Oryzias latipes: one gene and its partner. The protein of the gene in region 1 purifies or fractionates together with the protein of each later gene. This does not show direct contact. Links are inferred from orthologs where the notes say so. Each region holds a gene or a part of one and is shown in the gene's direction. Other genes may lie near its edges.

The links. The genes of interacting proteins can lie anywhere in the genome.
Region 2: the proteins of vps45 (region 1) and rbsn purify together in Homo sapiens (affinity purification with mass spectrometry; 4 studies listed by BioGRID and IntAct, counting the BioPlex papers as one, with this or other methods). This does not show direct contact. The link is inferred for Oryzias latipes from reciprocal best matches to the Homo sapiens genes VPS45 and RBSN.

What each region holds. Positions count from the first base shown.
Region 1 is NC_019869.2:4,525,076-4,528,588, reverse strand, and holds part of vps45 (vacuolar protein sorting-associated protein 45), read left to right. Parts: intron 1-1,491; coding exon 1,492-1,613; intron 1,614-2,700; coding exon 2,701-2,832; intron 2,833-3,276; coding exon 3,277-3,364; 3' UTR 3,365-3,513. UniProt on the Homo sapiens protein: May play a role in vesicle-mediated protein trafficking from the Golgi stack through the trans-Golgi network.
Region 2 is NC_019865.2:17,024,993-17,029,135, reverse strand, and holds the start of rbsn (rabenosyn-5), read left to right. Parts: upstream 1-1,337; 5' UTR 1,338-1,463; intron 1,464-3,289; 5' UTR 3,290-3,399; coding exon 3,400-3,562; intron 3,563-3,796; coding exon 3,797-3,931; intron 3,932-4,013; coding exon 4,014-4,114; intron 4,115-4,143. Other genes in the region: trh (thyrotropin releasing hormone precursor), read left to right, coding at 1-114. UniProt on the Homo sapiens protein: Rab4/Rab5 effector protein acting in early endocytic membrane fusion and membrane trafficking of recycling endosomes. Required for endosome fusion either homotypically or with clathrin coated vesicles.

The sequences.
Region 1 (3,513 bases):
GCTTTTACATCATTTTCAGCACCTAACAGGAAAAAATGAAACACGACGAAATAGATCTACCTGAAGATTGACAGAGAGTGCTGTTTTTTTAAAGTTTATAGGAACGTTTTCATTCTCCTGTCTAGAAGAACAGGTGAAAAACCGTCCAATTAGACTTTTGTTGTTGCTAGAACTCAGCTATTCTGACTACAATCTGATCGATGCACGCCTGGTTATAATGTGCAAACGTAGTGAGAGTGAAAACGATAAGAAATGTCCTCTAGGAGTTCCTGTACGTTTATCTGTAGGACGGTGATTTCAAAACATCTACAAGCTCGGCCTGACCCTTCACACAGTCAACTTAGCCGGATAACTAAAGGTCATCGCTGTATGTTTTAAAAAACGACTAACCAAATATGGAACTTGCGCTGGAGAAATTTCACTTACTAGAAATTATAGAAATAAAGTTTTACATGGAGATTAAAGTGGAGTTAAGCCAATTTGTTTGTTGATAAAACAAGGGGAAAAATGAGAACAGGGACTGTGGAAACCTTTAAGCATGGAGGTGGAGTGTTGATAATAGGGGCTTGTTTTTTAGGAGGAAAAATTCTTGTCAGTTTTAGGCCTCAAAGTCTGCCAATTTTGTCGTTTCAAACTTTAGCTCACCTCACGTTTTTACATTAATAACGTCCTGAAAGAGCACCCTCTAAAGCCCACTAAAGAATTGACAGAAAATTCAATTTTTTATTATTTAAGAGTAAATTTAAGCCCATTCATGAAAATTACAATCCACAAATTTTAATAATTTGATAGTAATTACTTAGATAGTATCGATGATGATATTTTTGGTGATTTGTTAGGTTTTGGTCACAACAATGTTAGTTTAAGATACAATAATATTGACAAAAACATCTTATTTACCCACTGGCTTTAATTTGATCCACACATTTTTACTGTGGTGTAACTGCATTATAAAGAATAAATTATCAAGAAATTTTGCATTCTTTTACACAGCAAATTGTCATTTGAAAATATGAATAACCGCAGTCGAGTTTTTCTCAGCGTACAGTTTAGAAAATTTGCTAAACATTTCCCGCCGAAAATGTCTGAGATTTCATGGAAGCAGTTGTTTAAAAAAAAGACCTTCTACTGCCCCTAGTGGAAGGATGTTGAACTACAGGGCAGAAAACACGGACTCAGTTATATACAATGTGTTTTTTAGGCAAAGTTTGGATCATGCTAATGAGATAGGATTCTCCAAAATAGGATATGAATGTATGTATGTATGTATGAATGAGTCTATGCAACCAGACCGTCACATGAAAGCTGTCACTGCTAAAGATATTTATAGATATTAGTTAGTAAAAGTTAATTTTAGATTGAAAACAGGAAGTTCCTTTTTCGAAATAAAACATCAACCGAGTTTTGTCCCTTTATGAGACTCTAATATCCAGCTTTATTGTAAAAAGGTTTCAGGGGTGGAGTTATTTGGTCCGTGTTGTGTGTTTTTAGGGGGTTGAGAACGTCTACACTCAGCATCAACCTCTTCTCCATGACACGCTGGATCAGCTGATCAAAGGTCGACTCAAAGACAGTCAGTTTCCTTACCTGGGAGCCAGCAGCCTCAGGGACAGGTAACACACACCTGAGGGTGGAAGAACTCACACCTTTCGGGGGGTTTTTTTGTTTTGTTTTTTTTAACTAAAATGCCACTCTGTGTCCTCGTGGTGGAGTGTCTGCGTTGAAACTGGGAGTTTTAACTTTGGCCTTTTTTTGGCCAAGTTTGTAAAATGTGAGTGGGGAGCTGCAGACACAGCTGCACTCTGAAACCATTTGGTGGTTTATCCCCCAATTTAACCCCTCAATGGTGAGTGTCAAGCAGGGCTCCCATTTTTAAGAGCCTTTGGATTGACTTGTCCGGGATTTGAACGCACAACCTTCCAGTTTCTGAGCGGACACTCTACCACAAAGCCACTAAGCTAGTCAAATTTTGACAATTGTAGTTTATTCTAATGGAAGATGTCGCTGTTTTGTGTCTTATTTTTTTAAGTTTGCATCTCGCAGTTTTGGCAAAGATTTCCAGTCGCGTTTGCAGGCGACTCTGAAAAAACGGCGTGTAAAGTTAAAGGTCATGCTTCTCTAAGCTTGTTAGAGTAAATTATATTCATAAATATGTGAAAACATATGATATAACATATATCATATCATATGATATATCAAATAACATATAAAGAAATATTTGTTATTTTCGCAGCTCATTTTCTTAGCCTGGAAGTAAGACAACTCAATCTCTGAGGCTCCGCCTTTTCTCTCCTTGTGGGTCCCGCCCACTTCATGACGTCAACCTCGGCCTGAGCTCTGTGTCTGCATTTTGCCCACAAAAACAAATAAACGTCCAGACTTTTGCAATATGGATATTGTGCTCATAAACTGAAAGCCGATCACCGCTACCTCAATGAGAAAGTGGGTGTTATGCTGGGGGCGGGGCTTCCAGACACTTCCTGGAAGGGGCTGTTCCTCACTTTGTGATGTCACAATGTGAGGACCCACTCACGGGTTGGGAGTGGCTGCTGCTCAAAGAGCAGGTTTTTTAGAAGAATACTCAGAAATGTGTGAATGGATTAAAATTTCGAATCAGCATTAGAACTCAGTGGAAAAAGTTGATTTTTTTTTTTTCTTCATGGCTCTTTAAAGCACCAACATTTGTGTTTTGTGTTCCAGGCCACAAGACATCATGGTGTTTATAATCGGTGGAGCCACGTATGAAGAAGCTCTGACTGTTTACAACCTAAACCGCAACACCCCCGGCGTCCGCATCGTCCTGGGAGGAAGTACCATCCAGAACACGAAGAGGTGTCAGACCGCCACGCTGAGCACACATTCTTCATCTCCTCAGTAACCCCTTCTGGTTACAACAAACCTCCTTCCATTGATTTGATTTAATGATCACATTTGATATAATAAAAAAGAAAAATTGGCTTGAGTTTGACTGGAGAAGCCATCCAAAGGGCAACAACCTTGTTGGCGTCTGTTAATCATCCACTCAGAGTTTGTCTGCTGCCAACAGGAAATGGGGCGTTTTACACAAACGTATGTGTTTTTTGTAATGCACCGTGTGTTTGTTCACTTTATCCTTTAACATTTGACGTGCTTACGGCCTTGGAACGCTATAGGATCGTGGGTTTTCTAGCAGCAGCTAAATAGAAACATTATTGGAGTTGTTGGTTAATTAGTGACTCAAAAAATAAGTTTTTTTGTTTAAACATAAATTCTCTCTTTCCTTTTGTTCTCATTCAGCTTTCTGGAGGAGGTGATGTTGGCGACGGGTCAGAGCAGTGGTAGCGACAGATCACAGGTGGCCGGTCGCCATAGCAACAGGCGCTAAACAGCGCCCCCCACCCCAGTTTCCTCTACATCCATTTCTCCTGCGTTGGACGCTCAGCCTGGCTCCCTCCGCCCGCCTTCATGCGTGTGAACGGTCGGGCATCGCTGTGATGCATCCGGACCGCATCCGCTGACCCCGTTTCCGTGTTG
Region 2 (4,143 bases), on another chromosome or scaffold:
CTGCTCGATTTTTTAGACAACATTAAGGAGGTTCATGAGGAGGAGAAGAGACAGCACCCGGGTAAAAGGTTTGCACTGAAAGAGAATGAGGAGGATGCAGTGGATAGCGAATAGTGTATGCTGTTAAGGTCTGCGCGCACTGCTTCCCTGTAAACAAATAGATGTAAAAAATAAAGCCACTATAATAAATTACAAAAATAAAACAAAAAACGATAGCCTTTTTATTTTATTTTGGTGCCACTATCGTTGGCAGACAGATATTGTTTCTTCAACGCAAAGTATTTTTCTGAAATGCTCTTTACGGCGCTTGTGCGTAATTCTCTAAACTTTTCTGTACAGTTTTCCGAAAGGTTTTTTCCATATTTAGATATATTAGTTATTTATCATTAATAGATCTACTAAATATGTAGGCTACTCTGTTCTTTAGATTGTTCATGCTTGCAATAAGTTTTAAAAGCATTACTGTTCCCTCTGTGAGGCGACAGGCTCGTAGGTGTGGCACACTGTGAGGATGAAATAAAGTAAAATTGATTTCGTTTCAAGCCAGAAAATCCCTTCATTGACTTTTTTGTGTGTTTTATTCTTTTGTATCCAAGTTAATTATAAAGACTACCACAGCAAATAACATGTCTTGCTCAACAATTGTCTGCATTACGTCATGACTTAATGAAAAAATAAAAATGGTTGAAAGCATTAATCTTTGGATTTTATATTTATGCCTGCAAATAACTTTCCTAATTGATATTTTTCCAGTATGATTACGAGGTAAGGCCGCTGATGGGCAGTGTCAGACATCCACTGAGCCTTTTAATTAGCTCGGATCGGCACGAGCTGTCTCTAAATCAATATGCTAATTAATCACAGAGTTTACAGAGGGTGACCTATAGGTGGCGACATTTCACAGAATTACAAATGGTTACAAAGCCCAATGAAAAGCCTTGGGGAGTTATCCTTAATTTCTGTCAATGGGCGTTACATTAAAAGTATATGTCAAAACTTTTTTTTTAACTACTATGAAGACTATTAAGAATAGCTATATTTTCCGTTTAATATAGTGCATTTTTTATCAGCTTGCTAAATTTCCACGATGAAGATTAGCTAACATATTAGTCCATACATTAATTAACTTCAGATAACCATTTTCATTTTCTTCCTCAACTATAATTTCTGACTCACTATAGATATATGTTATTTCTGATAGGACTATTTAAATAACTGAAAAATTACCTTACTTGTCGTGTGTTTTAGTGAATTCATTAAACCGAAATTGGACTGCTGCCAAAGGTAAGTTCGCGTTTTTTCTGTGCTTTTTGTCCCTCTCATCATCCCTTAGATCTTCAACTAATCACATGACAAGGCAGAGCCACTGCATCTGCTGCTTTGGAGCTGTCAAAAATTGTCAACAGCAGACTTATTGTCGGATACACTTCAGCATATGAACTCTTCTTCGTCTGGAGGGGAAGGTATATGATTATATGTTTATCTAGTTATGAAGTTTTTGTTGGATCTGCCTGCAAATTAGAGGGAAAATAGCGGTAAAGATTGCGAACCCTCATTATATGCTAGCATCATTTACGGCTAAACCGTTCCTTCGTTGCTTGGAATAGCGGTATAAAATTTTGCTTTTAACTCAACGCATTGTATTTGAAAACACGGATCTTTTCCTTCTGGCAATTCCCTCCGTTTCGCGCCTTAGACTAAAGCAAACCTTAATATGAAATGTCAAACAGGGATGCTTGCTAGCACAGCTGTAACTTTCCGTGTAGCAAGATTTTAAGTTTTTATTCTGAATATAAAAAATGCTTTGTTATAGTAATTTAAAGAAAAACGTTTTTTCTCAAAGTTGCAGAATTTAATTTTTAAAACAATCTTCTGGTTATAAATATTAGAAATGGACCGATGGGATTTTTGGGCTCATCTCAGTCCCTGTAAATAAACGTAATCAAAGAGCGTCCATTACAAACATGAATCATTATCAGAGCATAAATCGGGCTGTTATAATGACGAAATGGACCAGAACTTTAGTTTAAAAAGACAACTAACTTTATTATTGGGGACATTTCATATTCATAAAGGAAATGATCAAACCCCAAACCTAATACACTTAACCAATGCAATATGGTAACATCAATCAAATGACAACAAAACTGGCTGCTTCGACTCATTTCATTGTTAAAAAGGTACTTAAAAAAACAACATCTCTGTGGCTCCTTGTTAATTTTTGTTTTGTCATGTGATGCACTATGGCTCTACATAAATTCTGTGAATTTGAATTTTTTTCTGTCTTTCTTTCCCCTATGCATTCACACGTTTGTTGTACATTATGGAAGCGATTTTGTAGCATAATTAAAAATGAAAGTCAAAACCAGAAATGCTTTTTCATTTTCAAAATGTAACTGCATGTTTTGACTCAAAATTAAAATGAAAAAGCAATCCTTCAAAATGCTTTTTCCTTTTCTTCTTCAACACCGCTTTTTCTGTCACTTAATTAAAATGATAATGTAAATGGTATTTGACATCTCATTTTCAAAAGGTTCTCTGGTAAATGTGTAGCAAAATTCATTTAGAAATGTCTAATTTGAGAATTAAAATGGATTAACAGAAATGCTTTTTCATTTTCATAATGTAACTGCATCAAATGACTCCAAATTAAAATGAAAATTCAATACTTCAAAATGCTTTTTCATTTTCTACTTAAAAACCGGTTATTCTGTGTCGTAATTAAAACGAAAATGCAAAGAGGGGATTGCATTTTCATTTTAACATCCACCCTGCGAATACTGTCGCATAATTCAATTCGACTTAGCATTTCCAGAGGGGAGGCGGGGCGATGACGTCACTGCTTTCTCCGTGTGTCCGGCTGCTAAGAGACACATGCTAGGAGCAGTGCGGCCAGGCTTGTAGCTTTGTGTTACCGACAGAGAAGAGGGCTTTGTGACGGTTGTGCACTCCTGATGATTGTACACAAATGATTAGTGCAAGGGTAGTTAATATGAGCCACTGCCTTTAAACCTCTTCAACCTTTCATAGTCATCAGTTGGGATCTTTTTTGCAGTCAGTGGCCCTCCTATTGCAGCTCTCATTTCAGTTGGATAAGGGTGACTTTGTTATTACAATGACTTTTTACAGTATTGCAATTAAACGCTTTTTTACATTAATTTTTGTTTTTTGACTAAGCTAAAACCACTTTCAGTCCTAACTGTAAATATCTGAGATTTCACAATTAAGCCTGAAGTTATGTGTAACCTCAGTCTGCTTTGTCTTTCTGTTCACTCTTTACATTTTTCAGGAATCATGAAGCTAAGGAGGCTAACATTGTACACATTGTGACCAGCGGGTTGAAGCTTCATTATGCCGCCCTTCACTTTCTGGTAAACAACAAGGCTTCCAGCTCTCATCATGGCCTCCAGCTACCCACCCCCCTTCGAGGGCACAGGTGAAGTAAAAGAGGGCTTCCTTTGCCCATTGTGCCTGAAGGACCTGCAGTCTTTCTACCAACTCCAAGGCCACTATGAGGAGGAGCACTCAGGGGATGACCGGCATGTCCGAGGCCAGCTCAAAAGTAAGGGTCGAGTCAGAATTCAGCTTCAGAAAAAAAGAAAAAACGTAATAAAATTCCCTTTTTTGCAATATGACAATCCAGCTAATAAGCTTAAATGTAGCTGTTTGGAGTTGGTGTTTCTTTCTATCTAACATTTGAAAAAATCCAGCTTTCCTTAACAATTGTCATACTTTAAAAAAAAAAAGATATCTTATGTGAATTTACAATATTTTGTTACCTTTCTGTGTGATTCAGGTTTGGTTCAGAAGGCAAAAAAAGCCAAAGATAAACTTTTAAAGAGAGATGGAGAGGACAGGCTCGACACGGGCAGTTATGAGTCTTTCTACTATGGTGGAGTGGATCCTTATATGTGGGAGCCTCAGGAACTGGGTAAGAAAGTATTAATATCAGAGCAGCACATGTATTTTTCGTGTTTTTTATTTGTTGGAATTGTTTTTGTTTACTCTAATAGGAGCAACAAGAAGTCACCTGGATATCTTTAAGAAACATCGTGCTGCCAGAATAGATCACTATGTCATTGAAGTCAACAAGCTCATCATTAGACTGGAGAAGGTACGCCCTCAAAAGCATCATTCTCCTTA